Linked DNA regions of Astyanax mexicanus. The protein of the gene in region 3 interacts with the protein of the main gene of each other region in a biochemical or structural test. Links are inferred from orthologs where the notes say so. Each region holds a gene or a part of one and is shown on either strand. Other genes may lie near its edges. The genes, in order: grip1, mta1, esr1 and prmt2.

The links.
Region 1: the proteins of esr1 (region 3) and grip1 form a complex in vitro, tested with the Homo sapiens proteins (2 studies listed by BioGRID and IntAct). The link is inferred for Astyanax mexicanus from reciprocal best matches to the Homo sapiens genes ESR1 and GRIP1.
Region 2: the proteins of esr1 (region 3) and mta1 form a complex in vitro, tested with the Homo sapiens proteins (4 studies listed by BioGRID). The link is inferred for Astyanax mexicanus from reciprocal best matches to the Homo sapiens genes ESR1 and MTA1.
Region 4: the proteins of esr1 (region 3) and prmt2 form a complex in vitro, tested with the Homo sapiens proteins (2 studies listed by BioGRID and IntAct). The link is inferred for Astyanax mexicanus from reciprocal best matches to the Homo sapiens genes ESR1 and PRMT2.

Annotation. Positions count from the first base shown.
Region 1 is NC_064409.1:11,298,511-11,306,510, forward strand, and holds the start of grip1 (glutamate receptor-interacting protein 1), read right to left. Parts: upstream 3,006-8,000; 5' UTR 2,535-3,005; coding exon 2,402-2,534; intron 1-2,401. UniProt on the Homo sapiens protein: May play a role as a localized scaffold for the assembly of a multiprotein signaling complex and as mediator of the trafficking of its binding partners at specific subcellular location in neurons.
Region 2 is NC_064421.1:24,341,180-24,348,460, forward strand, and holds the start of mta1 (metastasis-associated protein MTA1), read right to left. Parts: upstream 3,024-7,281; 5' UTR 2,666-3,023; coding exon 2,638-2,665; intron 1,999-2,637; exon of another isoform or gene 1,797-1,998; intron 1-1,796. UniProt on the Homo sapiens protein: Transcriptional coregulator which can act as both a transcriptional corepressor and coactivator. Acts as a component of the histone deacetylase NuRD complex which participates in the remodeling of chromatin.
Region 3 is NC_064408.1:79,147,809-79,155,560, forward strand, and holds the start of esr1 (estrogen receptor), read left to right. Parts: upstream 1-4,750; 5' UTR 4,751-4,809; coding exon 4,810-5,213; intron 5,214-7,752.
Region 4 is NC_064418.1:45,908,791-45,915,792, forward strand, and holds the start of prmt2 (protein arginine N-methyltransferase 2), read left to right. Parts: upstream 1-3,998; 5' UTR 3,999-4,132; coding exon 4,133-4,219; intron 4,220-5,675; coding exon 5,676-5,852; intron 5,853-6,488; coding exon 6,489-6,650; intron 6,651-7,002. UniProt on the Homo sapiens protein: Arginine methyltransferase that methylates the guanidino nitrogens of arginyl residues in proteins such as STAT3, FBL, histone H4. Acts as a coactivator (with NCOA2) of the androgen receptor (AR)-mediated transactivation.

The DNA.
Region 1 (8,000 bases), on a different chromosome or scaffold from region 3:
GAAAACAAATGGCAGGAATTGAAAGCCACAAAGCTTCTCTTTATCCTCCTTTTTGGCGCTCCGCTGTTCCTCATTTCCCAGATTTATGAGTGAGCATGCCCTGCCCGAGTCTTCCTTATTGTCGTGGTGAAATGAATCATTTTTCAAAACCCAAAAGTGTACACGTCCCCCAAGCCAGGGGAGGATGGGGACTGCAGACGGATGAATCCCATTAGAAGGCAAATGGCAGGGTCTCACACAAGTAGGAGTTTGATGAATGTACAGGAATGGGCAGACTACAACCTCAGCATGAATTATGCATGAGGTTGATATAAATGATGCAGAGAGGAGGGGCTCTGAAGCACAGATGAGGGTAGGCTCAGTGACCAAGTGTGACATTTACAGTTTTTTTCGGTCACAGAAGTTAATTAGCGTGGGTTGCCACTGTGCGCTCCGGGATGCGTCGAGCCACAGCTGTAAGTCTGGCTTTTTAGCAAGATCTACTGTCATCTCAGGCCTAATTGTGGCCTTCTAGACTCGCATACCAACAAACTTGAGAGACTCAGGTTTAAACATCTCCATGTCGGATAGGTCCCCATATCTAAAAACTCTTCCCAATGCCATTTATTCCCCCACTTCCTGTGTCTGACTCACTTGGACTCCAGCTGGGCCAATTAGGTGTCTAATTTTATGTTGCAGAGCTGAGCTTTTGCGATTGCACATCAAAGCGAATATCTGACTAAACGCATGCATGCAAGAGCGAGACTACCGAGAGAGCCGGTTTCCGCCATCAGGCAAAAAATCACAGTCGTAACCATCCGCTAATGAAAAAAGCTCCTATTTAATTAATGGTTCTGTGCACATTAAACAGCATGCGCTGTAGAATAAAACATGACTCGAGTTGTGCAATCAATTAAGCCAGTCATCATCCATTCAATTCTCAGGCTGGGTGAGTAACAAAGAGTCGCAGGGAACAACAAGAACATGGTGGCTCTACGGGTTTGGGGTCCCGACGTGAGGCCACAAACCACAACATCAAAATTCAAGCAACTGCTTAATCCTAAGGTATGAAAATACAGACATTCCAGACCTTCCTGAATGTCAAAGGCCTTCACTCGCTCTACTCTGTGCTCTGTGGACTGTTAAGGAGAAAACCCTGAAAACAACTCAGTGCTGGTTCTGAATGCTAACCCAGCAAGCCAGGAGGGCTACGGCACCAGAGCAAGGTTCCGTACATCTGTTCTGGGTCTGACTCCAGGTCATTCCATCTCTCTTACTCAGCAAAGTAAGGAGGGAAGGAATGTAGATGACAGGCCTCCCTTTGCTCCCTTGCCTGTCATTCCATTTACAACCTTGAGGTCACTAGTTAGGGGGAACTGCTTGAGGGAAGAAGTACACAGCTTAGTAGTTTAATAGATAAAACCTGCTTCTCAACGCAGAGCTGCGATCAGCTGAGTTCCACAGCTGTACGTAATGGAAGTAATGGAAGCACTAAGCTAAGAACAGCTAATGAACGACTGCAGGAGGCAGGAGACAAACGCTTCTCTTCCGGGGGCACGAAGAGAGTGCTGCTTCATAATAGATGAAAGTAGGTGACGGAAGACGGGCAGACGGCTGCTGTATTTTTAAACAAGCCGCTACACACTCTCACACACACACAGACACACACACCACACACGTCACCTGAGAACAACGTGCCTTTAGGGCGAAGCAGCATGTCAGCAACGGCGGGGGAGGGGTGACAACACAAACACACCTACCTACCTTTCTATCTATCTTCCTACCTCATTTAAGACAAGGGCAGAAAGCAAACAAGCATCCAAACCAACCAACTAACCAACCAACTAACCAACCAAACCTTTAGGTGGTGCAACACTAAGGCATTAAGGTGGCCTGCACATGGCCGGGACTGACCACATGTGCGCACACACACAGTTCGCTCCGAGACCTTCTCTGACAAACCATTCACGCTCAATCAATAGAAATAAGCGTTATCCGATACATGCCATTTATCAAGACTGGCAGGACACGCTCTTTACTGCAGCCACAGGCACACCGACGCAAACGTGTGTATACACACACACACATACACGTGTTTGTGACAACAGGCAACTTGAGACATTGAGACATTATCACATCCATTATCGCCCTGCGACCTGGCCACACTCCACAGGGCTTCACAAGCTGCGCATAAGCCTCTCGATTTGCCCCCCGAAACAAAGTCAGTCCCTCCTTTCCAACCACCCACCCCGACTAACCATCCCACCTGCCCGCCTGCCTGCCTGCCTCTCTCTTATTGCCAGCTCAAGGCTAATGATTCACACTGATGGTAAAACAATAAAACAGATCTGTGGGGGCAGGATCCCTTGCCGGACCCCTGCACAGTCCCCGGGATGGCATTCAGTCAAGCAGGACCACTTACTGTGCAGGTGCTCGGAAGCGTAGTAATACACATCCTCATAGCCCTCGTGGTAATCCTCTTCGGGCCGGTACTTTTTGCCCTTGCGTCTGCGGGACCTGCGAATTTGCTTTACAAAGCCAAGGAAGCGTTCCATTCCAGCGATCTACACGCAAAACTGCCGCACTCCTCCTCCTGCTCCAGTGGCAGCAGCAGTCAGAGGCAGAGGCAGAAGAGGCAGAAGAATCAGCGGCAGCTGGAGCAGCAGTAGCGGTAGTAGTAGCAGCGACAGCAGCAGCGGTAGTCTTGGCAGCGGTGGCGGCAGTAGTAGCGGCAGCAGCGATGTGAGAGTGTATTCCGCTGCACAAAGAGCTGCTGAAAAGAGAAAGCGAGTGATCTCCTAAAGACTGAAGAAAGAAGAAGGCAGGGAGCAGCAGAGGAGGCGAGGAGGGAGGAGGGGGTATAAAACGATAGGGAATGGGTCAAATATCAGCTCCTGCGGACCTGGCCGACTCTTCCGAGAGAATAGACCCCGTCCAGCCCGGCTCCCTCTGCCCAGCCTTCAGCACTCGCCGCCTGCTGAGTAGTCCATTGTGTGTGTGTCAGTGCGTGCGAGAGCCAAAGAGGGTGTGTGCGCATTGTGGAGTGTGGGGAATGAGGAGCGAGAGAGAGAGAGAGAGGGAGGGAGGTGGGGACTCGTACACATACAGAGGAGAGGCCGGCTTGTTCTTCTGCTTATTCCTTCACAGCAAAAGAGAGCGAGAGACACAAAGTTCAAAGGACCCGGCAGCCAGGCGAGGAATCCCTGAGCTGTGGGTTTATGCTGCCACTTCACTGCCCACCCTTCCCCCTGCTTTCCCCCTGATTTGCCAAAAGCTAAAAAGCCTGAGGAAGGTGGAGAAGCTGCACAAGGTGGTATTTTGCGTGCCTCCAAGAATGCGGGCAATAAAGACTGAAGGAATTCCAGATGATGTCCTATAATTTAAAAGAATCCTTTGAAGAAAGAATTTGTGCATTTCTGCATTTTTGCACCCCACCCCCTGCCTGGGTTAATCTGTGGTCAGAGTAGAATTGTGTAAAGTTGATTTTTAACCAGCTGAAGTTGATATTTATTCTTTCAATGCAATGGAGTCTGAGAAATGTCAATCATCGCATTCTGAGATGCATTGTAAATAAACTCACTAGACCTTTTCCAACATTCCCCACTACTTCTATATTTGAGATTTGCACAATTTACGAGAACAAAGGAATCCATCATCGTAAGAGCACAGCTAACTAAGGGTGTTTTCACACCAGCACTATTTGCTCCAGTTAAAACACACTCTGGTGCGGTTCGTTTTTTTTTAGCAGGTGTGAAAACAGTAATAAAACTCTGGTGCAGACCAAAACAACCATACCGAGACCCCCTAGAGGAGATAATTTCAGACCGGTTCCAAACAAGAATGTGATCCGTTCTCTATCTGACTCGACAATCAAAAATACTCCTTTTATTTGAGATAAACTGATAAGCTGTTCAGGTGCAGTTTAACCTGATTTATTATCCAGACAATTAACTACTGTAACTATGAACTAATGCTCTTTCTGCTTCATGCTAAGCTGTTTCAACACTAAACAAACAAGAATGTGTTTTACTAAACGTGCAGATTTTCTAAAAATTAATTTTTAGATTGTCAGATCAGTTTTTTCGGTTTAAAAATGCATGTACGAGAAGGTTTAAAAGTTTACATTTGAAGTTTTGATATCTCTAAAATGTTTGCATTTGCTCTGGTATCAATGCCATTCTCAGTGCCAATATTTGCTCAGGTTACCAGCCAATGTTATTCTTGTCAAAAAAAAACAACTACCAGAAAAGAGAACATAGATTTCCCTCCCCACTCGTGAATAGTACTATAGCTTGTAACTTAAAGCTGCAGTGCTTAAAAAGTAAGTATTCTTTTAAGTCAGCTCTAAACATATGTTTTTTTTCCCTCCAAAAGCCCATTTTTAGAGGTGCTGCAGCACAGGAGATGATGCACTCAGACAAGCTGGAGCGGGTGGGTGTTGGAGTGGTTCGCATTGCCAAACAAACAAAAGCATGAGGGGATTACATTACAGCACCCTCCACCAGCAGGAGTTCCAGCCCTAGCCCCATCTCCAGCCACCCCAAACACGGACTGAGCCGCTAATAGCATTAGCGTTCCAGAGCGGTACGTGTTAATTGGGCTGATTTCCACCAATGACACCTCAGCTTCTGCCAGCAGTCAAGCAGCGCGTGACAGTGACCCACATGGTGAACTGGGAGTGTGCAGCCTGCCAGACTTGCTGCTGCTGGTGGTGGTCTCGCTTCTTTGTTTTACAGTGTTTTAGAAAGGCATTGCTTCTCCTTGATGTGGAACAGAGCTGTACCCGGCTGCCTTCAAAAACAAGAACCAGCTCAAAAACACAGGTTTTCACCTTGTCATTTTCCGACCTGAAGCCTACAATACCCTACAATATTCTCCCAGCAGCTGTGACTAATGCAGGACCCCGGATGTCCGTGTTCAGGGGGGTCGGGGGTGGGCTTTCTAGCCCACATTCCCAGCTCAGACGCAAACAACACAGGAGACAAACAAACCAGCCTCAAAAAAAACATCCGCTCATGCAAGAACATGCCGGCAGCTCGCTCGACAGAACCTGTTCGCATGAGCTCTTGAGGTGTGTGTTTTGAGGTAGACAGAATGTGGAGTGTGTGGGGGTGGTCTCTCTTTGTTCTTTTGTGAAAAAACGAGGAGCCAGTTTAATCTCTCCCCCCATGGGCACGGCATGGATTATCACATTTAATCCAGCAGATCGAGACGCTAATGTAACATCAAGGATACTGTACAGTATATGGCAACACAAATATACAAACAGACAACAATATAATATACAAAAACATGTTTAATAGTTATTTTCTCTTTTTTTTTTTTTTTTTTGAATTTAGAAAAAATGGAACCAAAAAATACAAAAGGAGATAATTACTATCAAAAAACTTTTTTTGGGATCCATTTTTTGGATCTTGTTGGAAAATAACAAACAAAGAGCATTTGCTTACAAAATCATTCATACCCCTGCTATTACAAAAACATTTGGCTACGGGTAATCAACAAAATGGGCAAGGCAAAAGACTATAAACAGTGATTTAAAAAAAAAGGGTCAATATCAAAGTAGGAAAAACAGCAATGTATCCTACATTACTTAGGACTGAACTGTGCAAATTGAGGGGTATATATACTAGGGAGGACAGGTGGAACCAATTAGTAGCTAGGAGAGCAGGAACACCATAGCATCATGTAATCAGTGGAGTCATGGAAGTCCATTGTGGGTGCATGCTGGCAAGTTGAGTCTTTAGAGGACAATCTTGAGCAGGCAGACAGACAGCGTCAGGACTGACACATACATTGTCTTTGTCTAAATTGAGTTTGAATATATTACACAAGAATATGACAACAAGAATAAACACTATGGAATGGTATTAAGGTAATGGTATTGGCATATTTGTCCTTCAATCAATTAAATCAGTTTCCAAGGCAACATTTTGTATTTGACACACTGCAATGCACAAAGCTTTCACTATATAAACTTTACAAGGTAAGAGGAAAAACTTTTGAAAACGCTGCCACTGTGATCAGTAGATTTCCGGTTCGAAACCTGTTCATGTAGCTTGCTATCGGCTACCGGTGAGAGCCTTGAGAGAGCACAACAACAATTGGCCTTGCTCTCTCTCTCTCGGGTGGGTAGATAGCGATCTTTCCCCACATGACTCTAAAGGGTGATGTCGATCAGCATGAGGCATCTGTTAGCTGATGTATTAGAACCGAGTCACTGCTCTTTCCTCCAATTCACATGTATCAGAGGAGGCATGTGCTAGTCTTCTCTCTCCTGGTGTTGGGGCATCGTCTTAGAGTCTTAATGAGTGGGTTAGGTAATTGGCTGTGTACATTGGGGAGAAAACGGAGGGAAAAAAAGTGGAAAATGTCAATTAATGGAGATGAATTTTTACTTCAATTTATTATAAACCTTTAATTAACTAAACTGAGACTTTTACATTGAGATTTGGAACATGTCTAACGATTAAAAACCTCTACATCTCATTGCTCTTCCACGAGGCGAGAATCTGTTCCAGTCTGGAACTGTTGCAGGAGATTATGGCAAACATAAGGGAGCACAAGACAGCTCAGCCTTCAGGGCTGCGGCGGCGAATCCCTTGAAAGTTGGTAGAGAACCACCGGGGGACACGGACGAGTTCGTCCAATCTGTCTGCCACCTGCTGCAATCAAGCCACTCCACAGAGCCGCTATTGATTAGCGCTAGCAGAAAAGCCTAGACTTGCGCATGCACGCATGCTACTGGGAATTGACTGAGCTGCACGGCTGTAGAATTGCGCAGCTCCGTCGTGATTCGTGGAGCACCATGCTCTCTTTTGCGTGTAGTGAAAGGTTACACGGAAGTAGTAGAGTCTACATCTACAGCAACTGTAGGGTCGGACTAAAGCCTGAGGGATGAGGTTTGAGTGTATTTGAAATGAAGAATCTTCTTCTGAGCTCTTAAGCTCACCATCATCTCCGTGTTCAGTCGAGCACAGTAGTGAGCAGTGGTCTTAGGAATGCTTAGGAATCGTGGAAATCATGGCGCCGTTCCAGGTATGCTTCTCTCTGAAGATTGTTTCAGATAAACCACTGCAGTAGGGCACAGCTTAAAAATTTGATCTTCTGCCAACAAGCTCGTCTTGCACTCGTCTCTCTCTCTCTCTTTCTCTCTCTCTCTCTCTCTCTCTCTCTCTCGTTCTCCTGCACACTCTCTCCTCCTCCTTGTCTCTCTCATTTCTCTTCACTTCACTGCTTCCTGTGCCATCTTCACTCTTCCCGCTCTTGCTCGTGCGCCACTTTGAGCACCAACCCCAAAATATCGCCTGCATCTCATCTTTTTCATGCTTTGCCAATAATTACATTTATATTTGTGCAGCAAACGCTGTGGCAGCAGTATATGAGTCACTTAACATGCCAGAACAGATAAAGACAGGCTCTACTCATCTTAAAGAAACAGTTTGAGATGAGCATTTACCCCGAAATTAATTTAAACTGACATTCAGAACCACTAACCGACAATTTTACGTAATCAATATAAACAACGCAATTTCGTAGGTTATTGATAGGATTACACAGAATATATTCGTCTGAAGATAACAAAACTTTGTAAAACTGTGTAAAAAAAAGGCACATACTAGGTTAAACTGAATAAGTAAGAAGACTGAGTACTTTGTATTCAACAATGACTTGTTTATTTCAGTCATATTATTTATATAAATCATAGTTTATTTTAGACCAAAACTGAACTGCTGAGGTAAAAGTAAAACTAAAAGTGCACTGCTAAGGGGAAATGCAGGATTAAAACTGCGCTGCTGAATTAAATGCAGCATTAAAACTGCACTGCTGAGATAAATATAGGACCAAAACCGAACTGCTGAGGTAATTGTATGACTAAAACTGCACTTTTGATGTAAATGTAGGACGAAAACTGCACAGTTGAGCAAAACTTTGATCTAAAACTGAATTGCTGAGGTAAATGAATAACCAAAACTGAACTGCTGAGTTAAATGTAGGACTAAAATTGCACTGCTGAGGTA
Region 2 (7,281 bases), on a different chromosome or scaffold from region 3:
AAATGCACTCTGACCTTACAGCAATGTTGCAATCTCTCATGTAAAGACTTAAGAGTATAGGTTGAAAGAGTATAGGCTGTTACTGCAGCAAACTGATTCACTTAGTTATTTGAAAAAAATTCATTTGGACTAGCAAGTCTGCAAACATTTTAACCAAGAATAAGTCTTTATTTACTTTTTAAAGAAAGATATCCTTCTAAAATTCTGTACAGCCAAACACTGTTTAATTAGTCCCCATTTTATACATAAATATTTATATTAATTTTATCATATTGTCATAAATTTTCTTATTGCATGGACAACATACTTTAAGAAAATTCAGTTAGATTAGATGATGCGCCGCAAAAATACAATAAAATTCATCGTCATTCATGAAAGAGTATTTGAACAGCAGAATCTGATACTGATTTTTTTTTTATGTCAAAAGATGATAAATACTGTGTACTGTGAAAATGTTTTTATATAACGTATAATTGAGCATCATCTCCAATTCACTACATATGACAAAAAACACATACAAAGCTAGCTCACTATCAAAAACTTCAAGAGACAGAAACCGGACCACAATGAACTGTAAGAGGAAGACTCGTGCCATATTTGGCAGGGTAGGGGGTCTCCCCCAAGACTGAGGTGGAAAAAGACAGTCTTAACTGATGACATGTTCCACTACTCAACTGCTAAACTGTATCCCAATTTAACTTTAAAAAAGCTAAATTGGGAAGTTTACATTCTCAGAAAACTACCAACTTGTTTTTGACACGTAATTTAGTATAATAAATGGCTACAAAATATTACAGAGGGATTCGAAATTGACTTAATTTCTTCTGCTCACAACATCATTCTAGGCTTTAAAAAGTCTTCACTGAATTTACTTATGGTATTCATTACATCTGTCACCATAATTATATGTTCTTGACTTTATTAAGTTCTGCTGTTCTTGATACCAACCACTGTATTTACTCAATAAAAACAGGACTAAAACATATAGGGCAAACTTTTAAACTTGCGAATTGCTGGAAAACACACTTCTCTCCTAGACTATTATTCATTTTAAAAGTGTATGGTTCTCTAAAAGGGTGTTATTTTATGATTGTACCATTATATGCTGAATATATCAATGGTTGTTTTCTATAAAGACAATATATAATTTTTCACAATAATATCTGTGACAATTGTGCTGATCAACATCACCCTTTGGAGTGATGTGGGGAAAGAGCTCCATCTACCCACAGAGCGAGCAAGGAGAGCCCTGCTCTCTCAGGGCTCCTGTAGCTGATGGCAAGCTGCATGAACGGGATTTAAAACAGCGAGTATTTTAATGGTTACAGTTTATATGCACTACATATGCTGCACTTTAGTTTTGTGGTATATTTGTGTTAGTTCCATTACTTTACTTTTATTACACCTTTTTTTTTTCTTTTACAAAACCAGGCTCTGTTTTACGAATCAGACAATTGTTTATATATTTTTTGCTTAGACTAAATAAAACTTTAATATCTATTTTGTTGTAGTAGTAACTATGTTGCTAAAATTATTATTTAATAAAAATCAATGTTTTGTCATATCGCCAAGAATATCTTTATCGCAAAAATACACCGAAATATTGTGATATTATTTTAGTTATATAACGTTAACTGTTATCGCCCACCCCTGCTTCAAAGCAATTGAAAAAATTGAACTATTCAATACTTTTATTTTATAATTATATGTAACTTAACTAACGTACTACTTCACACAAGAAGGCTAGGTTAACTTAACCTGACCAGCGTTAGTTAACTAATTAAGGACGGACTCACGTTTCCACCACGGCTCACTTCTCTCTGTTTACCTCCTCGTTCAGGAACAGGTTAACAGCGGTAAAGTACTCCAGTTCGTAGCTTTTCTACTGTCTGATAGTTTTTTTTTTACTTCCATGCTCAACCAAACGTTCCCTAACGTTACTTCTTGTGGCTGAGAAGTAATTAACGTTAGTATTAACGTTAAGTAATTAGGCTAAGCTAGCTAACCCATAGCTAAGTTACGTATGTCTGGATAGTTAGCTGGTTAACTCACCCGTTACTTGGCAACTAAGCTATGAGCTAAGCTAGTCAGCTTTTTTTAAACATGCTACATGATATGTGAGGTTTCTTTAAAAACTTGAAAACTTAAGTAAAAAGCTTCAGTTCTGGGGGAATTATGAGCTTTGGCTGTTTGCTGGTGGGGTATAGGACTGCAGAGCTGCTAGCTAGGTTAGTTAGTTGGCGTTAATTAACTAGTAAACCTAGCTAAACTCACTGTAAATACTAAGTTACTAACCTATGTTTAGGTTAGCTAAGCTAGAATACTCCAGTTTTAAGAAAGTAAGTTAGCTAAACGACACATTTTGGAGGGGGTTTGAAAGCAGCTAGCGTTAGTTAGACTCTTCATCTTTATCCCGCTCCTCATCATCATCTTCATCCTCCTTTGGTCACAGAGCATGAGGCTCTCTCTACTCCAGCTTTAGGAAATAAAGAGGAAGGACACGGAGAGCTGCTCCAGCTCTGGGCTCTGAACTGTAACTAGCTCTATAACGCTGTATATACCCGAGGCCGCCGCTCAGGGGAGGGATAAACATACACCAACACAGAGACACAGACAGGCAGAAAACGTGCTCTCTACCTCCGACCCGGTACATGTTGGCTGCCATGACTGCCCCGCGTCCTGGTGGCTCCAGGTAGGGCTTCCTCACGCCGTCGCGAGCACTGCCTCCGCCGCTGAGTGTGTTGGAAAATGGTGGATTGATCAATACGAAGCGGAGCAGTCAGGGGATCTTAAAGAGACAGTGCGCCCATTTTCACTACTCTGCTTCACCGCGCTACTCGGAGACTCGCGCCGGGACAGAGCAGCTGAGGGACTCGGTAAGAGCGCGAAAACAAAGCGGGGCGGCCGGAGGGAGGGAGAAAGCGGGCTGGCGGTCAGGAGAGACTCGAGGGAGGAGAGAGGAGGAGAGGCGGAGGAGGTGGAGACCGCGAGCATCACCGTCCAGCTCAGTCTCCGCCTCCCTCGGAAATACCGAAACAATCGCTGTTGTACAACTTCAGACCCACTAGAGGCAAAATAACAAAGTAAACAACTGTTGCTTTCAGATTGGAACCCCCCCTCAGCTCTCCCTCCCGAGCCCTACAACACCCCACCATCTCCCTAACAGCCCTCCATCCCTCTCTCTCTTCAACACAAAAACGAAAACCTAACCTAGTTAACGCTAGCTGACTGTATTCTACAGAACAGTTCCAGTTCCAACGGTTACAGTGCCACTAATGTTGCCAGGTCCAACAAAAATATCCAGCCCAAAATCAGAAGCTTGAACTAGCCCAAAATATCTGTCTGTCACACGTTTGAAGCAAATGTCAGAACAACTATGAGTGTACGACTTTGTTTGATTTTTTTTACAAGGTGTTTATTATCAGGATTGCTATTTATCTTAAAGTCATTAATAATTTTGAAACATTAATGTTTTATTAGTTATCTTATAACAGTTTATATCAAAGTCCATAACATTTGATAGTAACATAGTTAGCAAAAATAATAATTTACTTACTTACTAATTTCTGTTCTTGCCCCTCCTGAACTTTCTTTTCTCTTCTTTAACATTTTTTTTTTCATCGCCTTGTGATTTCTGGTTACTCTGTGGTTTTTACGTCTGGTTACATTCTGGTTACTCTCTCTCTCCTGCTGTCCTCCCTTATGTCGTTATGTTCTCCTCATTCTTATGGTTGTTGTTAATCAAGGAAGATTGATTTTAGTGTCAACCTCTACATGTTTGCCCACCGTGTTGACGTTTTTGGCAGCCGCCACCACTGAATTTTCACCCGCGACTGGATTTTCAAACAAGCCCAATTTGGCGGGAAAACCGCAAACCTGGCAACTCTGTTGAGGTTTAAGGGTTGGCCTGTAGCTCACCTGATATCACATTTCCCTTTAGAAGCATTCTTCAGTGGTCCACAGGCCCATACTCAGGGGGGAAGTTAGGAGTAGTTAGTAGTGGTTCAATACTAGCAGTTTTTAAGTAAAAAAGGTAAAAAAAAAAATAGAATAGAATTAAAAAATAATTTATTTCAGTAATTCAGTTCAAAATGTCAAACTCATATTATATAGACGTATTACAAATAGATTGATCTATTATAAGCGTTTATTTTTTTATCATGGCTTACAGTCTATAAAACAAAAAACAGCATCTCAAATTTTTTTGTGGCAGTGTGGGCAGTGTACCAAGTCAAAAAAATCAAATCTGCATCTCCATAAAAGTAGTCAGCAGAGGAGAGCATCAAGTGCTGACTTTGGACTTGATATAACACAGTGGACCAAAACCAGCAGATGGCATGGCTCTCCAAACCATCACTGACCATCAGTAAATTGATTTTTGATTTTGTTTTAGTTTTTTCTTTAAGTTTTAAGGACTGAAAGCCTTGATCTATTGGTTTCAGACCAGTATAACTAGTGACTGGTGGCACTGTGGTTGACGTGAGTTTGTGCGTGGCTCACCTGATATCACATATCCCTTTAAGGGACACTAGCATGGTGTAAATAAAGGCAAAAGTCATTCATAGACTTTCCAATGGTAGGCTGTTTTGCTGTGTTTTTGACGTGTGTTCTAAAAATTCCAGCCCGCCTCCTCCCAGAACTCTTAATTTCCTAACACTGGCACACTGCAGTCAGTAAGGCTTTTAATTAGGGCCCGAGCACCGAAGGCGCAGGCGAAGCCTGCACCGGAGGTGCAAAGCCCTATTGTTTTTGGTCCGTTTATTATTATTTTTATTTACAAACTTCGCGCCCATTTTTGAGGCCTTTCCGATACTCGAAAACTCTTGCATTTTGGCACAGACGTCAAAGCCGGTGAAAAATTTTAAATTACATTGTTCACAGGTTTGGGCGTGGATCAGGAGCTCTATAGCGCCCCCAAACGTTGCCAGTGGCCGGGATAAAGTTTGTCCAATGTGCACCAACTTTGGTACGCTCATTGACCTCATTATACCGATCAAGAATCACTTGGATTTATTTGACTCCGCCTAACAGGAAGTCAGCCATTTTGGCAGGAAGTCACAAAATAAAAAGTTTCCCGTGGTGTTTTGGGTGGGTTACGATGTTCGAAAACTCATAAAATTTCACAGGCCTATTGGGCATAGGATGTACTTTGATGTAAAATTGGAATTTTTCATATTCATAATTTATCAGCTCTCTAGCGCCACCTATTTTATATGACATTTATAGAAAGCTCTTAGCCTCTTCTAAATTAGCAGACCCAATAATGCCTTTAAATGATTTCGAGAAATGTAATCATTTTTCTAATGTGGTGCTAAATGACTCTACAGCGCCCCCTATTTGGTTTAGGCTAATAAATTAGCGGTAGCTGTCTCAAATTTTCCCCAATGTTCAAAATTTTTGGTAGAAACATAGATATTACGATGCCACACATAATACCCATTGGCATGTATTAGCTCCGCCCAACAGGAAGTCGGCCATTTTGAAAAATGTTAATTTTTTAAACATTTTTCACATACTCATTCGAACTCCTCCTAGAGTCTTTGTCAGATTACAACTAAATGGTCTGTGGATAGTCTCCAGACATACATGGTGCTAAATTGCGAAGGAATAGTCGATAGCTGAAACGATGACGTAATGGCGGGCAATTGATTTAATGGAGACACAACACTAAACCAAATAGAAACATTAGCATGGTCAGAATACTGCTGCTTGGAAATTCATGAAACTTGGCAAAAACATAAAAGACATCATTACACACATTTTCAGTGTTGATATGATTGACTCCGCCCAACAGGAAGTCGGCCATTTTGAAAAACATGCATTTTACACACATTTTTTGCATACTTTGTCGAACTCCTCCTAGGGAATTTGTTGAATACTCTTGATATTTGTCAGCAATAAACTACTACCATCCGTGATGATAAATTGCGAAGGAATAGTCGATATCTTAAACGGGGACGAAATGGCGGACAGTTGAATTGCTGGAGATACCCCATTAAAATAGGAAGTAAATACATTCTGGTGTTGGTAGGTGTTTGAGGAGGTTAAACAGGTTGAACACTCACGAAACTTTACAGGCCTGCTTGATTTAAGCGGTCCTTTGATTAAAAATTGAAATTTCATATATACATATTTCATTGGCTCTATAGCGCCACCTAGGTTTCAATGCATATTTGACATTACGGAAATGCTCAAAAACTCTTGAAAATTGTCAGATTCCATAAGATCTAAAAACACTTTACAAATATTGTGATAATTTTTTCATGTGTAGCTAGCGGACTCTATAGCGCCCCCTAATTCATTCGTTTAATAAATTAGCTGTGGATGTGTCACAATTTGTCTGATCTTCTCAAATTTTGGTAGGAGCTTAGATACTGTGGGCTGCGTCCGAAATCGCGTACTTCCATACTAAACAGTATGCAAAAGCAGTATGCGAGATCGGGTAGTGTGTCCGAATGCGCAGTAGGCGAGTTTGAGTACGCGAAAAGTTCCCGGATGACGTACTGCACCGGGAGACATTTTTAAGTATACAAGCCCAGCACACTTCACCCGCTAATATTTCCCACAATCCACCGGGAGCCGCGCTGAGCTGAGTGACCCGTCAGTGAGCGGCGGAGGAGAGGAGTGGAGAGAGAGAGAAGTTTATGAGGTGAGGAGATTCAGATATATAAACTGTTTTGGTTGTTTGTGATATTAGGCTGTAAATGAAAGATTTATGAGGGTTAGTTTAAGTTAAAGTAGCGAGTTATAGGGGTGTGGGTTTGTTATTAATGCTGTTGCAGACAGAACATCTTTATTTTCGTATCTGAACTGCTTTACTGAGCAGCGTTAGCCCTGTGCTACTGAGATCAGTTAGCTTAGCTAGAGTTATTAAACTTATCACAACTCTTTATTAATCTTCTGTTCTGCAGCACCAGCGTTTACTAACTCACTACAGCCCTGTATACTGCTGCAGTTCTGAGGAGCTGGGGCAGTTTTAACTTAATACTGATCAGTCTGTATAAACTCATCTGAGGAAAAAGGCTGCTGATATCAGAGAGGCTTTTCAACAGACAGACAGACTGGTTGCCAAAAATCACATTAATAAATTATAACCAAAATCTGACCATTTTATTTAGTTTTATTAAATAGCTAGCTAACCAGCCAGGATGGTAAGACTTTTATGTTGTTCAGAATTTATATTATATTTGTTTAATGACCAAGCTAAACTGATTTAATCTGTGTGTGTTTCAGATTCAACTATCCTTCCTACTCGAGAGGATGAAGATGAAGAGAGGGAGA
Region 3 (7,752 bases):
TTATTTCAGGTTATTGGAGAATTTCTATTGGTCCATTCATCAATACGTTTTGACACAGTGTAAGAGACCATTTGTGTGTTCAAATTATGTAGTAAACTAAAATTAGACAAAAATGGAGATGCTTGTTTTTCATTGGACAGCAATAAATACTCTGCAGGCTGCAGTCACATAACCTTAATATATTCAGAATTTTGCTTAGGTTGGATTTGGCAATCTTAAAGGCCTTGATGCTTCACATTTGTGAATATTAGTTCCACAGACTACAGATCTGTCTGCAGAGTAAATCTGTTTCTGAAACAACACAAATGCACATATAAGCTTAGGCACCTCGCCTCTGTTGTTTTGCCACCCTGGTGTGGTGTTATTCTGGAAAACGTTATAGTTACTCATTAACAGAAATGACAGAAATCACAAGCATGATCTGTTGTGCCCGTACTGCTGCATGACACGTGCTTGCAAAGAGTTTGAAAAACAAGAGATGACATCCACAAAACCCTGACAAAAAAAAAAAATCTGTGGATTTGAGTCACATGAGCCTGGTTATGCGATTGTAGGCTATATGAAAAGTGATTATGTGACTCAAATCCATAGGCTTTTGAACAGTAGTGTGTACACTAGTTAGGGCTTTCAAAGATTTAAATAAACTTTTATTTTGTGTTGAGTGCTGCTACAGTGTGGATAATCATTCATATGGATATGGATTAAAGCCTTAAGGATTGTTGGCTGCAGGGTTTTTCTGAATTATCAGGCATTTTGAAACAGAGAAATGTTTACTTAAGTTGTCACAGTGATCACGTAGTTACCATTGTAATATTGTAATGCAAAATTGGCTGAAACTGAAACTTAATAAATAAACTGAAATTCTCCATTGGGTTTTTTTTTCCGTACATTGTTTTTTTTTTTTTTTTCAGAGGGCTTTGGAAAATGTGCCTAAAAGGAATCTTGTGCTTTTGTCAGAGTTCTTTGTTTGTTAAAGTGTTTTGCTTTTGCTGACAGTTCATTAGTCAAACACTTAAATAAAAAAAATATGTTCTGCTCAGGCTTTGCTGTTATGAACACTTGAGACTTGATCCTAATACATAATAGGATCTTTAGTGAAAGGGAAAAAAATTAGCCAGCAAATGCAATATTTGTGCCAAGATTGGAACTCAAAGTAAATATGTGGTCTTGTACAAATATTTGAAAGTGTGAGTAAATGTCAAGTTGTCACTAAACACTTGTGAACAGGCTTTGGCATTTCTATGAGTGCTGAGCATTTCAGAGCAGTATTCTGTATAATTTTAATATTGTATATTGTTAGTGCTTCAGCTCATTACTAATTCTACTGAGTTACATTCAGAGGAGAGAATAAATTGAATAGTAACTAAATATCTCATACTAAAAGACTAGTTTGTAAGAGAAATAAATACAAACATATAAAATAGCTGAACCACGTTCTAAACACATAAAGTGTGTAGGCTGGTAAATGGTTGGTAAATGTTTTTCTGTTCATTTTTTTAACGACTGATATTTGGAACATATTGTGGTTCATATTGAGGCGCAAGACAAAGGGGATTTCCTCACCTCACTGTGACCTGGGTTATTGTGTAGTGAATACTAGTGTGAATAATTATAGTAACTTAACACTTAGTCAGAACAGTCAGCACCTGACCACATTAGTTTATTAGAAAGGAAATGCCACTGATGAGCAGTTTGACTGATGTAAATCATGAAAAAAATCATACTATTATAATCATTTTAAAATTATGCAAAACCAGGTTCTACAAAGTATAGAAAAACATTGTATTTCTTTCCTAAATAAACCTTAATGTTTAGTTGAGTGAACCATATTCTAAAAACGTGCCTTTGCTGTAAACAGATCTATAGTACAGTTCATTTTATGAACATTGAATTCAAGGTTCTCGTTTGTCCTCACTGAGTGAATGATTGAATGTTTATCTAGAATGTTTTTATCAGTAAATCAGGGTCATCTGTTTGAAATCTGGTCAAAGTAAATTGATAATGGGTTCCAGTTCATTATAATTAGCAAGTACTTCATGTACACAAATATTACTGCAGACATTAGTTTAATTCTGTATTAATGAGAAACTTTATTAAGCTATTTTGCTATTTTTTTATGTACTTTAAAGTAATTGCTTATTATGATATGCTTCACAATACAGGGGTTACAATTCTGTATGGCACAGTATATTGCAATACTTTAAGAGCGTTTTTACACTTTTTCTAACAAAAAAAATAAAATAAAATTAGTACCACATCTGGTACCAATTTTGGGCCGGTTTGGGAGAGGAGCTCATTGCCACTGGTTTGTTTTTACTGACCGTGGACCTTGATTGCACAATTCCATACATACCTTTGCTATTAAAAACGTTGGATATTGGAAACAACTACAGTGTTTTTGGGATGCGTGGATTTTTACTGTAAAGGTGATACTCCAAACAAGCTGCCTTTATTCATGATTTTTGTCCATCAACAAGAGTTTTATGCTGTCAGTATCCTCACTGACTCCACAAAGCTGAGATTATTACAGTAATAAAGTACCACCAGTCCTCACATTGTGCTTTATTAGCCTCAAAAGCAGCTTTCACATTTGTCCTGCAGGGAAAGCACATCCAGTTCTGGAAAAAGGCCAGTGTAAAAAGTGTCATAGTTTAAAATATAAACCATATATAAGCAATCAGAACAACACTAAATGATCCACGGATGATCTGACACCAGTCTTTAGTCTTAGTGATCATTATATACTGTGTGTGTTGTGCCTACATCCTTTTTTGTTACTAGTTTAAAAGTGCTAACTTACTTCACAGCTCTTGTAAAATAACAGGACTTGAGGGTCCCCAAGTCTACTAGTATCCCCATGTCAATCGACCTGGAAGGAGCTGTGTGTTTTACATTGACCTGACCTTTCATTTACACAGTGTACCGCTAAAACCGTTTTCATAACTGATTTTACACGATACTGTGTGGCTGTTTTTCCTATATCTACTAAAGTGCACAGTTACTCATCCTTTCCAGTCAAGCCTTTCCTAGTACGCCCTGTACCCCTGCTGCCTATCTCAGAACTCCTACTCACTTTCCACTTCATTCTTCTGTCTCTATTAGTAACCGCTTATATTAAATTGAGATATTGCCTCATAAATATCATACCAGAGCAATAAGACTCTTTTAGCTGCTTTTCTCTTTCTCATTATTGCCTGATGAGTAAAAACTCTAGATTTTGACCTTTTAAAGCTTTTTATATTGTTTGTTTCAGAATGTAATTAAATTTCCGATGGCAGAAAAGCACATTACCATGTTTTTCTTTCTTTCGCTGCATCCGTCACCTGTACGGCTGTTTGGCAGCTGAATGAAGTGCTGACCTCCTGTCTCTTGTTTACCTGGTTGCGATGACCTGCTCTGCTATCGACCGAGTCGTGTCTTTTAATTTGCCTCCTTTTTTAGAAAGAGAGAGATGCAGACTGAAAGAACGTTTCTAAGGGGAAAGATGTGCGTCTGTGACAAGATAATCACACTGCTGCACACTCTTAACATAAGCAGAATATTCAGTAAATTACTTATAATCACTTCATAAGTTTAATACAATATCTTCAAACGAGTATTACACTGTAAACATAGTTTGTTCTTTTATCCCTTATGTCCTTATATCCCTTATATCCCAAGCTCTTAAATGTAATTAAAAAACGTAAAACAATCAACCAATGTTTTACTCAGCGTTTATTTAATCATTCATAGTAGTTACTGAATAGTATTGTTTGCTAAATCTGTAGTAGATGCTGTATAAGTAATGAATATTGCTGAATATTATAATAATCAGCCTCTACCATCATTAATGCTGCAAGATCTTGGTGAAAAATTAATGCAACACTGGATTGAAATAAATCTTGTGACATTGCAGAAGATTATTGAAACAATACCACAGTGAATGCATGCTGCAATCTAAGCTAACAGCGCTCCAACAAAATATTAGAGTGTGTGATTTTTTTTGTGTGTCCAGGCAGTGTTTATTCCTTGCTTTATTGCTTCATAATTTCACATGCGTGCATTTGTCCACCCTGTTTTGGCAAGCTGCATGAGAGAGTGGAATATTTTAGTGAAAACATAGTGAAAATTTTATAAAAACCTGGATGACATAGAGTTGCAGACATTTTGAACTGTTTAAAAGATACATTTTGATTTTCTAAAATTATATATATATATATAAAAAATGAGCATGATATTTTATACAGACAGGGTGAACATATTAAGCTTTACCACAAATACATTTAGAGACAATATAAGACACATTGAGCGGAAAATAGTATGCTAAATACTAAAATAAATGTGTTTTATTCATGATTTAACCATGTAAATGCACTGCAGATAAAGAAAACTGCATATAATATATTAAAAGTACTTTAAATTGAAGGTAAATATTATTATGCTTTTGTAATAATCTGTAATGAGTAAATAAGTAAAACAAATTATTGTTACATAGTGTTTGCATGATATTTAAACATATATGTTGTGAATACAAATGGCACATTATGTTGATATTGACAAAATTACATTTATAATTTCTTACAAACCTATTTCAGTATTATTTCAGTAATATGCTTATTACTTGCATATTAAACTAGGTATGAGAGACTGTGCTTGAATAAGTAGTGACTAAGAGTAAAAGAGGGAGGGGCTAGTGGAAGAGGAAGGGTAGGGGAAAGAGAAAGAGAAAAATCCCTTTCTCTTAGTCAGAGTGTGAGAGCAGCTGGTGCTGTAAGTCATGCTGCCTGTGAGTGTGTGTGTGTGTGTGTGTGTGTGTGTGTTTGTGTGGTGATGTCTAGTGAGCAGGCGCATGCTGAGGCTGCTGGTGGCAGCAGGCAGCGGCGCAGGAGCAACTCGAGACGAGGCAGTGAGCTGGAGCTGGAGCTGACCCCCAAAGTTTCCCCCATGTACCCAGAGGAGGGGGGCATCTCCTCCACTGTCCACTTCCTGGATGGAGCTTATGAGTACCACAACCCAGCCTCCGGCGTCGGATCATCCCCTGTGGGCTTTTACCCACCGCCTCCGGACCCCCAGCTGCCCCTGGCCGAAGAAACTCTTCAGTCTCTGGCCAGTGGGTCGGCCAGTCCACTGGTGTTTGTGTCCTCCAGCCCCCAGCCACCCACCTATCTGACTCACGCTGGGGGTCAGCAACAGGTGCCCTACTACCTGGAGCCTTCGGCCAGCTCTGTCTACAGGTCAGAATGACTTTAAACTATCTTTAAATGTATCATTCTGTTTCATCTCTGCAGGTCACACAGTATAAAAATGAGTGCTCATTGTTTTTAGTCATTTTGTTAAATGACAATGAATCTATATAAAGCACAACATGGCTTTTCCAGCTCTGCTGTCTTGTGTATGTTTGGTGAATTTACAATGTTTGATTCTTTGTCCTCAAGCACACCTTATTTATCTCTTGTGGTTAGTTACCACATTCAGTAGATGAGATTGAGCAGGAAAAGCAGCAACTGTGCTGGACAGCATTGATGTACAGCTACTATAAGGGCCCTTAAAAGGCTATTAGAATAAGAATTACATTAAGGATGCTAATACTATTCCTACTGATAACAAACTAAGTTCAAAATTTGTTTCAATATCCACACATAGAGCGATACAAAGTTGGTTAATATTTCTTTATGATTTGAAATAAGTGAAATGTTAGATGTGCAGTTCTGTTCTGAGGAAACATCAACAATAAAAAAAAACATTCTCTATATTTTGCCCATGTTTGTGTCATCAATAAAACACAGAAAATGAAAGTAAAGAAAGAACCTGCAAATTATAGTTATACATTCTCAATAAATTCACATTTAAGTAGGATTAGTAGTTGCTGTAACTATTAGTAGTTAAATGTATTTTAAAACAGAACAAGTGATTTGTATTTATAATAAGCAGGAAATAAAACCCACTGTGTGCATCTTCACATTCTTTGTCAGTACTACAAAGAACAGAACAAGTGACTTGTTACTCTTTTCCTGTAAATTGTGTTAATGTGTGTGGCTATGTGTGTGTGTGTGTGTATGTGTGTTAAAGACCTGAGATGAAAGATAAAGCTTCCTTACGCTTCAATTACGGCTCACTGAAGCACTGACTATCTGAGAGTCTGAATGAGCCATGTTTAGTCTGCACTCAGAAAAACAGATGTTACCTATTAAACCTACAGCATATTTACAAGAATTATTCATAGTGCATTAATTGTGGGAGGCATTCCTATTGATGCCATTATCCCTTTTTTACTAGCACTTTATTTATGTATATTCTAAATACCCCTTTTAAACAAAAAGGTTTCAGTTCTGTGTAGCACCTTAAAACGTGTTCTTAAGAGAGACTTTTTAGTTTTTTGGTGCTAAAAGTATTTTTAAAGTTCCCAGTAGAACAGCTTTTATCTTCATTAACTTTACAGAACAGCTTTTCAATGGAAAGAAACACTTCTTATAAGTATCCCAGTAGTGTATGGTCTGTACGAGCTCAGAGCTAATTTTGTTTTTAAACCTTGAGAAAAGAACTATTTGTGCAAATAACAGGAGTGCACAGAGATTATCACGTCCTCTTTGAAGGAAAAAATAAAACGACGGAGATGTTCCTTGATAAGTAGGGTTAATGGTGAATTCTGAGAAATTTAGCATATATATTTCCTTGTAATTTTTTTTTACTAGAATCCAGACACTTATTCTAATTATGTGAATGATCTACTTTAAGGTGCACACAATGCTGATACTGGTGTGCATATCGTCGCTGTCCAATAAAAAACTAGTAGCTCCATTTTTGTCGATTTTTAGTTTACTGCATAATTTGAACAGACAAATTGTCCCTTACACTGTGCCAAAATTTATTGATGAACAGACCAACAGAAATACATAAAATGTTGCAGTTTTGGAGATACTTGTTTTTCATTGAACAGCGATGATATACAGCTTGTATATAAGATTAACAGAAAAGCAATACTTGTGGGATTGGGCCCATCAGAGCAGACACACATTAATATTAAATATTAGTCATTCAACATCAGTGCTTGATCCTCAAATTCTCACAGGACTGTCACAGCCAACTATAATACTCTTGATTTCCAGAAAAATTGGATGGAAAGGGACAATTGGATTTGGACATGCAACATCTCATACAGAGTTAAAGTGTAAACATATGTTATTACAGTATTTTCTTATCAGAAAGAAAATAAACAGGATCTAGTGTACATCAAACAATGAGCCATAAAACCCAGTGAGCTGATTATGTGAGTGTTTTTCAGTGATGGTGGTCCAATCTGTCTCAGATGTTACGCAGTAGTTTGATGAACAACAGAATTAAGCTTAAAACAAACATTTACTTACACTAGAACAAGAGGTCAGAGGTGAACAGCGCCCATCTTGTGTGACCCTACTCGATGTCACGTACACAATACAGATGTGCTCAGAGTGTAGTTTAGTTGAATTACATTATCCTTTAAAAGTAAAAAAAAACAAAAAAAAAACAATTTGGCTGGTTACACATGTATGAAATAATATGTATATATGCAAAATGGACATGTATCACAAAATGAATAAGAACCTATCAAGAAAATAAAAAATGTGTCCAGAATGATGAGCTGAGCTGTACATGAACTGCATGAAAAATCTGTAGAATATCAAGAATTGAATTAACATTCAGTAAAATTACAATTAAATTACCCAAAATTGTTAACAGAATGCATTTTTTAAACTATGGTTTTGAAGCTGGAGTGTCAAACCCATTTACATAAAG
Region 4 (7,002 bases), on a different chromosome or scaffold from region 3:
CCCCACACCGCGGCTTATCCGCTGCGTAAGCAGGCTAGGAGGCTGCTGCTGCACGGTTTCTCCGCTGCGCAAGCCAGCCCAGTAAATTGCTGTTTGTGTTTTCACACTTAGGCTATTTGCTTAAAAAAACAAACAAAAAAAACGTTTGTTCAGGAAGTATTTTATATTCTTAAACATTGTTAATTATATTAGAGGACAGTCATTGTAAACTGTACTTGGTCTATTTCGGTTAAAGGATTGTGCAGGGCATATTACTGATTTTGTATTTTTGCACTTGGGCTATAAGCTCAATATTAAATATTTTGTTTGTTTAGAAATTATTTTATATTTTTAAACCATGTTAAATTATATTAGAGTAGAGGAAAGTCATTGTTAATGACGTTATTGTACTTGGTCTATTTCGGTTTAAGCATTGTGCAGGGCATAGCCGTATTACTGATTTTGTATTTTTGCACTTGGGCTATAAGCTCAATATTAAATATTTCGTTTGCTTAGAAATTATTTTATATTTTTAAACCATTTTAAATTATATTAGATAAGAGGAAATTCGTTCAGACATCATTTTTGTAGGCCAGGCTTTTGTAACCGATTTAGCCCCTACTGTTGCCACATTACCTCTTACGTTTTATTATATAAATCAGTTTCGAAGAGCCTGCATTTTTTTTTATCATGTATAATAGAGGTCTGCGCGAGACTGATTTTTAAACCCACTCTTCCACGCTCCCGCGTTTCTGTCTCGTTACCGCTCCGCAAAAAAATTGCTTCTTTTAATCCCGCGCCCGCCCGCCACATACACATTTCTGCCGCTCCCGCCCCACGTTCCTAATATAAATTAAATAAACTACATTTAATGCTTCAAATCTACTTATATATTTATTAAAACAGCAGCGCTGAATAGTGTGGTCCCGTTCCTTACCCCAGTCCAAACACCATCGGTGTGTGCGTGTGTGTGTCGGTCCATCCTGCGCGTTGAGAGTTTTCTTTAGGTTTTTTTTTTTTTTTTACAATTATTACAGTTTTCTTAACTATTTATTAATTTGCTCCCGCATCGTCTGGATTAAACCCCCGCTCCAGCCAATAACAGTTCAGCTCTGTCCCGCGCGCAAGATATTCTGACGGGACCCGCGAAAACAGAAGTGGTTAGAGTGAGGTGGAACTCTGGAAAGGAGAAAAAAAACGAATATCCGAATACCAAAATTAAAAACCGAATACCTACTCAACGAACGAATATCCGAATACCCGAATATTCGGGTCCAGCCCTAGTAATTTGAACATTTTTTTGTCTGTTTGTGATTGGTTTATGTGTATCGTGTGTGATACTACATAAAGAAAATGAGTTCCAGTCCTAAAATAGCTTTGCCAGTTTGTTTAAGTAATTTTATGGGATGCAATAGATAATAAAAAATAAAAGGGAAAAATAAATCAAAGTTCAAAAGTTTTCAAAGAGAAGCTCCAGAGTTCAACCTTGACTACTGTCTTCTGCTCAGTGTTTTATACCAAATCTATCAGATCTCAGCACACAGTTCTACTAAACACGTGTGAGAGTTAAGCTTCTAGGTCGCCTTACCCTCTTACAGCAGCCTGTTTTAAAATTAAAACCGGCTCTGTGTGTTTTTGTCCATTAAACTTGCACAGACAGCACTCTGGAACTCACACACATCTCCAATAGACAACAAATCACTGATTTAATATACAGAAACTATACTGATTCCACTGAAAAGGCCTTAAAGGAGAACTCTGGTGTAAAATAGAATTTTGTTGTAGTAAAACATGATAAAAAGTACTTATCTTTGATGAATAGCACACCTCCGTTCTCCCACAGCGTTCTGAGATCCAGAAATTTTAACAGTTTGTCCAAACACCCTTTAGACTGGGTGATCAGGGGCATAATTTGCCCCGATAACTCGCTTTTTACACCGTTATCCAGCTCAAAGTAGCTCCACACCTCCTTGCTAGAATCCAGAGAGCCCTGACATTTGAAACGAGACATTAATAACTTAAAAAGTGCACAAGAAGCTAATTAAAAACTTTTATAAAGCTTTTAGCTCTGAGCGCCTCCATCACTGTACTGATAAACATAGATATACATAGACTCCACATAGCATAGCAGCCAGCGCCATTGGGCAGGCTATGCGAAGTCTATGTGTGTATATATATATACAGTATATATATATATATATATATATATATATATATATATATATATATATATATATATATATATATATATATATATATATTTATGTTATTAGCGCAGATGGATTCTTACCCATGGTTAAATATGAATCACCCAAAGAAAAGGAACCAGAGATCATGCTAATACTGGATAAATACTGGATAATATATTGATTATGCTAAATTGCTAATTGATTCAGGTAAAATACCGATTATTCATTTAATTGACAATTGAACATAATAAACTATAAAAAACTCCATATTCTTTTAAATTGATCTAGTGGTATTTTCTAATCTTTAACATTTTTTTTTTTTTTTTTGAAGAATATATTTTCAGAACCTGTTGAGTTGTGACGGATCTCTGTTCAGTGAAAAAATAAAATTTAGTTGTAATATTTTAAGGGTTGTTTGTTTGTGTGTCATTGAGTTTGTTATCAAGTCTGTCCACCCATTCAGAATTTATGTAATATACTTCATGAAAATACATTTTAAATATACTTTCACTGTATTTCCATAAATGTATTTTAAGCAAATATATGTAGTGACATTAAAAACCGATTAAACACTGCGTTACTTAAATCTTCTTAAGTTTGTAGAAGCTTTTATGTTGTATTTAAATATAGCTTAATTACAACTAACATATACTTAAGTTGCCGTAAGTACAATTAGTATGTATTTAAGTACTTTTCCATGTTAACCATACTTTAAAAAAATACCAACTTAAAATGCACTTTTCTTTTACAAGGGTAAGTGCATTTTTCTTGCAAATAAAAGTAACATATCTGCTATTTATTTATTAAAATATAGATTAAACATATTATATTGTGGAAATATATTGTAAGGCACTTAACACATATAAAACACGTAAACACCTCTTGCAGCTCTGCTGAATCATGACTAACCTTCACCCTTCATCTTATAAGATAAGAAAAGATTCTTTATTCATCCCACAGCGGGGAAATTTGCAACATTACAGCAGTGCAAAGGACAGAACAGAGGTGTCAGAAAAAATACAACAGTATAACACACAAAAATACAAGAAAACATAACTATACTGAAAAATATATATATATCTAAAATCTGGTTCTCCAGTGTGTATATTCTACAATAACCAGTGATCACAGTTATTGTACACAGGCTGACATAAATAAATGGCAAATAAATAGTACATAATTGGTGGTATTGCACATATTATTGGTGAATTTAGCTATTGCACATGGTAATTAAACAGTTTTATTGCACATAGTAAGAAAAAGTGCAAATAGTGAACTGCTGTTTACTGAGCGCAGCACCTGTTATACAGTCTGACATGTATATCATATGATACGATCACTATTATGATTTTATTTTTATTTTATTATATGTTTAAAATAAAAACACTTCAAATATCAAAATGTTTGTGTTCAGCAAACAACAACAAACTAAAACTAAAATATGAACAGCAAAATGATTTGTCCCACTAAAAACCATTACAGCCTTAAAACTATTTGTTACATGACAATCAGACTAGCTATACATAAGTTTTTTACACACCTTTTCTCATTCAATGTGTTTTCTTAGGGTTTGTTTAAATTATTTTTTACATTGTAATTTTAATATTAAAGACTATATTAAAGCTATACAGGAACATGCAAAATTAATGTGGAGGACTAAACACATTTTTACTGTTTACTACGTAGTTTAATATGTGTCTCTTAATTGTTTTCATGTCTTTAATATTAATCTAAAATATAGAATTAAATGAAAATATTTAATTTAATATGTTTATTCTGGGTGCTGCAGTTCCGCTGCCTGCCTGTAGGGGGGAGTAAAGAGCGCGCGTGTCCGGTTCAGCTCCGCTTCCGGTTTCGGTTTCCCCTCTGTTTGGGGAGAGAGAGGTTTAATTTGTTTGTTTGTCGGTCTGTCTGTCTGTCTGCTTTTTTGTCTGTCTATCTGTCTGTCTGTCTGTCTGTTGGAAATGAATGGGGATGAAAGCGGAGAGAGTAACCCGGAGCCGGAGGAGTTTATAGCGTTAGAGGACTTTACCGGCAGCGGAGCAGAGCAGGTCTGTTACACCAGCCTCACAATTCCACCTTAAATATCTAACGCTAGCTAATGTTGCGTCTCAGCCTGTTCCACCTTAAATAGTTAGTTATAGGGACAGTTTTCCAGAGAGGGGTTCAAAGTAGTCTGGGAAAATGTTCCCTAATGTTTATATCTGGTCCTTTTCCACCTTAAATAACTAGTTAATGTTTTTTTATGTGAGACTGTTCCACCTTAAATATAACTATTGATTGTAATTGAGGCTGTAATAAAATCTGTCTTAGCGTTTCGCGTTTCTCTTTCGCGTTAAATATCTAGCTATGTTTAGCTAGCTAATCTGAAGCTTTTCCACCTTAACTGATGTTTTTTAATCTGAGACTGTTCCCCCTTAAATAGTTATGGGGCAGTTTCCATGGAGGGGTTCAGTTCAATCTGGTAACCTTTTCCACCTTAACTTACTAACGTTTATATCTGAAACTGTTCCACCTTAAAAATCTAATTAATGTTTACATCTGGAGCTTTTCCACCTTAACTGACTAACTAAATTGTTTTATACGAAACTGTTCCACCTTAAAATGTAACTAATGTTTATATCAGAAGCTTTTCCACCTTAACTAATGTTTATATCTGAAGCTTTCCCACTTTAAATAATGTTTATATCTGAGACTGTTCCACCCTAAATGACGCTATATGTCTTAGACTGTTCCACAGTTTGAGACTGTTTCACCTTAAATATCTAAATAATATTTATATCTGAATCTTTTGTGAGGCTTCCACCTTAAATATCTAGCGAATGTTTATAACTCAGACTGTTCTACCATAAATATCTATATAATATTTACATCTGTGGATTTTCCACACTAATTAATGCTTATATCCTGACTGTTCCACCTTAAATATCTATTTACCATTTACATCTGAAGCTTTTGCACAGTAATTAACGTTTATATATAAACGGTTCCACCTGAAGTATCTATATAATATTTATATCTGAATATTTTGTGACGCCTCCACCTTAAATATCTAGCGAATTTTAATATATCTCAGACTGTTCCACCTTAAATATCTATATAATATTTATATCTGAAGCGTTTCCACACTAAATAATAGACTTTTATGTATACTGTTCCACCTTAAATATCGACACAATATTTATATCTGAAGCGTTTCCACACTAAATAATAGACTTTTATGTATACTGTTCCACCTTAAATATCTATACAATATTTATATCTGAAGCTTTTCCACACTAACTAATTAATGCTTAATCTAGGCTGTTCCCCCTTTAATATCTAGCTAATGTTTACGTCTGAAGCTTTTTCACATTAACTAAATATTTGAGACTCTTCCACCTTAAAAAATCTACCCCAATATTTCCAAAGGTATTTAGACAACACTTCATATGGGTGTGCTCAACTACTAATTTTAGGTGTTCTGAATGTGTGAAAGTGTTACTCTGACTCTGGATCTCCTCACAGCTCAGTTTTGCAGTTGGAGACCGGATCCTGATCCATGATCAGAGCTGTGCTGATTGGTGGTGGGCGGAGGTGGAGGGCCGTTATGGGTATGTACCCTCCGGCTACCTGCACCACCCGGATGCTGAGGTGGAGGACGGCTGGCAGGATGAGGAGTATTTTGGAAGTTATGGAACTTTGGTAAGTGTTTGACTTTTGGGGAGTGTCCTGTTTTATTATGGTGTTTGGTATTAAAGTGATAGTTTGGTAAGAAATCATTTTACCATTAAACAATATGGCTGCCTTAAAGTTGTGTTGGAAATATCGTATTTACGAGAAAAGCACACATGATCTTCTCCACCGACTTGAATTTAACTGTAGGAAACTCATTGCAGTCTATTTTATAAAGATGTACATTAAATCACACATAAAGGAATCATTTGCGTACATGCTGCTGATACTTAAGATATATATATTTTATTTTAGCCAGTGCCCTAATTTCCGACTGTTACTGTATATGGTTATTCTTTGTATGTCCTCGATTATTTATTTATTCTTCTTTTACAATGACACTTTAAGAACAACCTTAAATTTGGTAAAACGCTCAATCTGAAGGAACTTTAAAACTGAGAAATTTCTTTAAAATAAAGAAGAATGTAAAAATTTCACAAAAACAACGTTTTTTAGGACAAAAATTCGTCCTAAAGGTGAAAGTGTCATAAACTGAATTGTACAATCCAGGAATGTTAAAGAATCGTCTCCACAGAGCTCTCCAGACTTCCTCTGAACGTTATCTGTGTTTTCGGCCAATTCTGCCTCCCTGTTTTGTGTCTATAGAAACTTCACCTGGAGATGCTGTCGGACAGACCACGTACAGAGACGTACCGGCAGGTCATCCTGAGCAACAGCACCGCCCTGAGGGGGAAAGTGGTGATGGATCTGGGCTGCGGCACCGGCATCATCAGTCTGTTCTGTGGGCGTCTAGCAGAACCTGCAGCGGTAAATACGTACACAGCAGGACATTAACACACAGGAACGTTATCAGAAATCAATATTTGGTGGAATAATAAACTGTTTTTATTCACAGTTTTCATGCATCTTGGCATGTTCTCCTCCACCAGTCTTACACACTGCTTTTGGATAACTTGCCTTTATTCCTGGTGCAAAAAATTAAGCAGTTCAGTTTGGTTTGATTGCTTGTGATCGTCCATAAACGTAGCAAAACAAAACAAAACAAAAAGCCCATTATATTATTTTTCCTCTGTCTGATCACAGTTTTATCATCACTTTTATGATAAACACAATAGATAATAATTATAAGAGAATAATATATAATATAATAATAATAATA